Arabidopsis thaliana: one gene and its partner. The protein of the gene in region 2 interacts with the protein of the main gene of each other region in a pairwise test. Each region holds a gene or a part of one and is shown on either strand. Other genes may lie near its edges.

The links.
Region 1: the proteins of AT3G16670 (region 2) and AT1G10990 interact in a protein complementation assay, tested with the Arabidopsis thaliana proteins (one large-scale study listed by BioGRID).

The regions. Positions count from the first base shown.
Region 1 is NC_003070.9:3,669,632-3,673,009, forward strand, and holds AT1G10990 (uncharacterized protein), read right to left. Parts: upstream 1,561-3,378; 5' UTR 1,461-1,560; coding exon 882-1,460; 3' UTR 612-881; downstream 1-611. Other genes in the region: AT1G10980 (Lung seven transmembrane receptor family protein), read right to left, coding at 1-190; MLO4 (Seven transmembrane MLO family protein), read right to left, coding at 2,304-2,759, 2,869-2,929, 3,006-3,073, 3,163-3,198, 3,291-3,378.
Region 2 is NC_003074.8:5,679,610-5,683,201, reverse strand, and holds AT3G16670 (Pollen Ole e 1 allergen and extensin family protein), read right to left. Parts: upstream 1,823-3,592; 5' UTR 1,703-1,822; coding exon 1,522-1,702; intron 1,375-1,521; coding exon 1,091-1,374; 3' UTR 840-1,090; downstream 1-839.

The DNA of each region.
Region 1 (3,378 bases), on a different chromosome or scaffold from region 2:
AAGCATGATGAACATCCAGAAACTCAGAACCATAGATTCCTTCAGAACCACCAACGAAGTAGCGAGCATTGGCGATTTTGGTGAAGCCTCCGCTGTTGTTGTAGTCGTGAATCGAGCCGTCAGCTGCGTGAATCAAATTCCCAAGTAAGCAAAACGAAATCACCAAAAACCCTAGAAACAGATTCGTCATTTTTGAGAAACTTTGCTCACTCGCTTCTTTTTCTTCTCTCTCTGTCTATCTCACTGTCACGCAGACCCCTTTTTGGAGTATATAAAACATAAAAGCACCATGTTTATTGTTTTTCATGACTAATCTCCGTACTGTTACTTTCCGTACACGTACAACCTCTCGTCTCCGAGCTATGCACAAACACGGACCAACGGCTAGTTTGTTGTTCAATGAGTCAGGCCCATTGGGCCCAAAACTTTATTTAGTTTGCTAGAAAATAAAATCAAGTCTAGAAATCCACAACACCCATTGTTTGGCTAAAAGAAGATTTGCTCTCAGCACAAAACTTAATAACACAAACGAATGCGATGAAACTTGAAATTTTACTCCATTCATCAATTCACTCAAGTTTACAAAAGGTTAAGTAGACGTTTTAACGCATCTATGGTTCATAAATTAGATAAATAAAAATGATTTAGTAAACTGAAATGACGCCCTGATTCGGATATATATATATAAGATTACAACATTACATTATCCTCTCTTTCCTTTTTGATAATAAAATAACTGAAATCAACCAATTATAATCTTCTTCTTCTTCTTACGACATATATTATAGTCTAAAGATGCCGGTGCACACAAGATAAAGAGAAGAAAAATGGTGGATGAGGTAAATTCATAATCAAAAGTTGTTTAAAAAAGTACTCTACTCTTAATCGGAATCGCTGTCCTTGTCGTGTCCTCCTAAGTCGAACTCTTGTCCCGCATAGTATTGATTTGTTAATCCACGGTCTCCATCTGGCGGACAACATTGAACCAGAAGCTGGGGTATGTCGGTTTCACTGGACACCACAATAGTACTAAACTGTTGAGACTGTTGAGCGTATAGCGGTGGCGGGCCTAGCAGCGCAGGTGTCAAGTCAGGTTCATTGGACGCCACAAGACTGTACTGTTGAGATTCTTGAGCGTATAGCCGTGGCTGACCTAGCGGCGGCGCAGGTGTTAAGTTAGGTTTAGTGGACGCCACAGGACCACATTCTCGAGCCTTTGGAAGCGCGGATGGTGGCGGCGAGTTAGTTTTGGTGGAGCCCTTTCTATAGCCTATATATGGATTATTCAAAAGATAAACAGAAGCAAGGAAATCTATGTTACACCAAAAGTAAGATAAAAGGAACTCACGTCGTATGATCCAAATAACCAGAAATGTTGCTCCGGCTATGAAACCTGGCATCACTAAAACCGGCATCTTCTCGTCTTTTTTTTTACCATGTTTCATTTCTCTGTTATTCATTTTTGACTTGATCTTTTGGGGATCGCCAGACCAGATCTAGTGATGGATGATTCTATAGAAACTGTATAGTGCAAGTTTAATTTTATCATTTGAATGAAAAGAAGAAGAAAAAAACAATTGTTTATGACATGTGTGTGACAACTGGCAAGTCTTATTTAAAAGTCAATACCAACGGCGGTAATAATTGATACCTGGTTACTTAAATCCTTAGATTTTCTTAATGCCATAATTGACCGAGTCTATCAATGACATTGTTATCATAACTCAAATCAGATTTGATAACTTCTTAATTTCGTAGTTGACATAAATTAACAATCACTATGATAAAATTTGATATTACTAACTTACTCTTTGTCCCAAAAAAAACAAAGTATCTTACTCAAAAACTATGTACAAAACTAGTTTTAAGACCGAGTACAAAACTACTTTTAAGTTGTATTTACTAGAAATACAACTTAGTAATAATCGACAGGAAATTAATCAAATCCATCGGTAGGCGTGACTGCACAGAAGAAGGAAAATGCTGCAGAGGTAAATTCATAAATAATCAAATGACAGGTGACAAGTCTTTATCTCTGTTTTGAAATCAATATATGTATAGCTGCCATAATTTGTGGTCTTTGTTTATACTGCCATAATCAAAAAGTTTCCTAATGCCATAATATCTCGTTCCAATCCATGCTATTATATTTTAAATTTACCTCTGAACCAACAAAAGATGTACTTTGATCATTGAATACTTTTTTTTACTGGACCAACAAAAGATTTACTTTGTTAATTGTTATTCTTGTATGGATGTCAAGTAATTACAACTGAACCAAGCTTCTAAAAGCAGAAACAAGATCAAGTCCTCCTAAACAACTCAAGAAGTGTTTCTCCAGCATCACCGTTATTCTCATCACTCCCACTTCCTCTCCCTCCATTATCTTCTTCACCTTCAATCTCAATCTCAATCTCATCGTTTAAAGGCGGTATCGAACCGATGTTATTGTATGTTTCAGACAGATATTCTTCCACCCTCGACGTGTATCCATCTTGAGGACTGCTGGATGAAGCTGCTGCTCCGAATATAGACTCTGCTTGGTCTATGGAGTTTATGGTAATCTGATTCAGTGAAGTCATCGATGAGCTCCTAGACAATGTCCCCACTGTCATCTCGTCTCTCTCGTCTATTGTTGCTGTGTCAAGGGAACACACTGATCTCGTGTGCTTAGACCTCTCTTTCACTCTCTTGCACCAACTGTGAAGTGAGTCTCTTACGCTCTCTGCTATCACAGCTTTCTTATGCCGAGATCCCATCTGTTCAGATTCAGGTGAAACCATAGAGTTTTTATGAACGATGTTTAGTCACAGACTTGGATAGGCTTAAGATTGTGGAATTGTAGATATATGAAAGGTTTTGACGAACCTGAGTAACGATTACATTGAGAGGCACAGTGCCATAACTACACCAGAACTGAACGAGAACCCTGCATTCACCAGAAAGAAAAAAAAAATCTTAAGAGACAGTGTGTTGCTGCGAATTGTTGTGTATTTGAAACGCACCCAGAAATTAGCCGGCTTGATATCATCACATGGTTCTTCATGAAGCAAGATCTTTCCTTGATTCCCCACTGATACATGAAATTGATGATCTTCTCAAAAACTGAAAAACTTTGCATAGCTGATTTAAGTATTGATGCATTTTATAAGGTGGCCTTACCAAGAACCAGATGAATGTTGCCATTTCAAATGCATTCTGCATTAGCAGGAAATATATAAGGATCATCTGTGTGAATAGAGTAATATCATGGCTTGAAGAATTGAGAAAGGAAAAGTCTTTTTGCTTACCTGAAAAATGATAAATTGTATCAACCGTAGCAGAATTTCTGGTTTCCCAAACCAGAAGAGCCCATCACGTGGTTTGACTTGAGCCCCA
Region 2 (3,592 bases):
GCAGAAGAGAAGATCAAATTAATATCCACATCATTAGGAGATTAATTAATTATTTCCCAACACTAGTACATAGGGTAATCAATAAACAAGAAAGAGTCGATAATTTACAGAAACAACAAGGAGATTAAAATCCATAAAAGTGATGAGGATTAATACTGTTGGAATTTAGGATAGAAAACGAAAGGATCTAAGAGAGAGAGGAGAGAAGCCCGTACGAAGTGTGCAAATTAGCGAAGGAGATAGGGATGTCTCTAAAGCGGCTGCGAAAAGCATTACTTACAGTTTTTTTTTCTTAACACAGTTAATGTCGGTTTGAAGTCTAGCTAATTAATACAGCGGTAAATACGTTAGAAACTCCGAGTATCGATGGATCACGGAATTAGCAACCGTAGCTAAGAGTTCTCAGTATTCTCGAGTATCAATAGATCAAGAGAAGAGGAGAATTCAAAGACTTGAGATAGAGAAAAGCTTCTCTGTTTTCTTATTCAAAACAACCACCGTATCTCTTACAAGTTTAAGAGTACTTATACGAACTTAAGAATAAATCCCTTGTTGAAACTTGAGGCTAAAGCAACAAATAGCCGACACAGTTTAAAGAAAACCTAATAACAAAAACGAAAGCCCAAAAACAAAGACGAACTTGAAAAGGAAAAGACGTAAAAGGAAATAGGAAGATAGACGCTACATCACTAATTAAACTTGTCCTTATTTTTTCCTCCTACTTGTGTAATAAATACGAAACTCGATAAACTCGATGTAAAATAAAAATAAAGGTGAAATAAAAGCAAATATATATTGGACGCTTACTTAACAGTTTACCAAAAAATATATATATTTATATATATATATATATATATATAGCTAGGGATAGAAAGGGAAATTATTTGTTACATTTCATTACAGCACTATACATGCATGCAAGACCCTGGAAACAGAAGTTTTACAAGAGCTTTATTTCAAAGACAGAGACAGAAACTTGACCTTATTCATGCATACGCAAACAAACGTAAATGGTCATGACACAAAACATATATAGAGAAGGGAAACACACTGTAACCGAACATTAATTATGCTTATAGTTTGGTTTTAGTTAGATTGTGGGGATAAAACCGGTTGGGAGGATAGCGACTATGTTGAGGAGGCCGGAGACGATACTGCCGACGAGATTTAACTGGGAGATCAGTTGTCCGGTGGAAGGGAGGGTGGCGTCGCAGCTGGAGCGAGGGGTTGGGACGACGATACGACAATCGTTGAGGAGTGTGGGAAGGGATATCTGAATTCCGTTTGTAGAAAACGTGAATAATCCGGCAATGTTCGTAATTGTTTCTGCTACGACTCTGTTTAGGTTTCCACACTGGAGCTGGACGACCGCATCTGTTATTTGCACCATTAAATTAGTATGTCAACAAAGAGATCATAAATATTATCTTTTTGTGAATATTCGTCATTAAGATAAATATGATTTCGTGAATCTTTTTATTAGTTCGTATATATAGTATAGGTTAAGAATGGACAACTAACTAGCGAAAGCCGGGGCCGGAGTGCCATTGAGAGGGGCGCCATTGATGGTGCAAAAGAGAACCCCATTGATAATGGGGACATTGATACCACCAAGACCACTCTGAGCGTTAGCCATTGGAGACACCACAATGAGACACAACAAGACCAATGAGAAGGTTATGTGTTTCTTGATAACTGCCATCTTTTTTGGATTACTTGTATATGAAACTATAGAGTAGATAGCAAATATTTGTTTGTGTTGCTTTGGGTTTGGATGTGATAAAGTACTGTCTTATGCAGCTCTATTTATAGAACAAGTTTTATAGATATCTCCCCTCCTATTTACTTTGCTCTAGTTATATCTTTAGATGATTCGTTTACTTTTTTTATACACCTTATTGTTTTTATATACTTAAGTGAAAACGTCCATAGGGTTTAGTAGTGAACCCGGATCCTAGGATGTAATTTCAATGGTGTGCAATCATTCTATTTTATGTTATTTTCCCCTACACATTATATATAATTTATATCATTGAAGACAATTAATTATATATATTAGGTAAAACAATGATGTCTTCCATATTATTTCACCAAGATATCTTGAAGTTCAAATACCAAAATAAACATACAATAATCGATAACTTGAAGAATTATCCATACCGTACTTGTAATTAAATTTTTAATCATTTGCCGTTTTCCGTTTCTATTTATATTGTCTCCAAATGTTTTTTATATAGTTTCAGTACTATTTACTATTAATAGGAAAATGCTAAAAAAAGACATAGTAGAATGATAAATTTTGAGGTTAAATCTTAAAGAAATTTGTTTGATGCACTTATAAGAGCTCGAACCCGCAAGACACAAGATGGTTAAAGAGACGGCTTGAGAAAGAAAGACGCGATATTGGACTAATATAATTTTATCTTCAAATGCATTTTAAAAGTTTTTGTTCAAGAAAAAGATACAGTGAAACCAATACTCCATCAAACAATTGGACTATAGTTTTGATGCCCTTTTTCCTCCTTATGTATTTTCTTATATATAAAACAAATCAACCTTAAATAAGTAGACTCTGGATAAAGAAAAAATTCAGCAGCCATCTTATGTAACAGATTGGTCCATGGGATCTTTTTATATTATTCGACTTTGATCAAGTTGTATATATTAGTCGTATCTCGATCAAGTTGCCCTATAGGTAAACTTTTCGCAATAACTTTTAATAGTAGTAACTAGTAAGTAGTAACTTAGAAACTCAAGTAAATGGTGAAAATTGTGTATTTCTGAATTCGTTGTCGCTTCTAGTGGTGAGGCCAGATTAAGATTTCTCTGAAATATAGAAGCAGACGTGTTGGCATTGTTGAATTCATGTCATGCTTACTTAAGTTATTCATTCTTAGTATCTTATTTTCTTTCGACTTTTGTTGAATTTTGCAGGGTATTTTTCTAGGCGTTTGCTTTGGCTATTGGAGAAGAGTGATTTCGATCTTCATGGGCTCTTGTAATTTTAATCAATTGTTTTGGAAGCTTACACCATACGTTCCAAAGTTTAATTACATGAAAACTGAAATTCGCCACCAATAAGAAAAACAGTCATATTACTATGCCACACGGTTACGATCCAAATATAAAATCTATACTATATTGTTGTGCAAATCTTTACATACAACGAATATTCGTAAAGTTCATGCATCAACTAATGCAATTTGGCTAAAACTTATATTGATCGAGTGTAAGTTTAACAATTAGTCAAATTATTAATTAGTATCACATCATTATATTTATTTATTTTCTTTTATAAAATGACTGAAATGCTTTTTTCTCTATTTTGTTTAATTAGTCTAATTTTATAGAAAAAAATATAACAACGATGATATTTTTTTTTCGTTTTGTAGATTTTCTATGTTTATAAACTAATAGGTTTTTAGATTTGCACTAATACGAGAAAATGATGATTTATTCAATTATTTTGTCTTTAATTAAACGGAGTTTTAGCTTTATCTTTTCCAGCAATTGATATAGTATTAACAAAATATTTGTTTCCCAATTTTAATTTATAAAAACTCCATATCTAAATATTCCATAAAAATAGAAA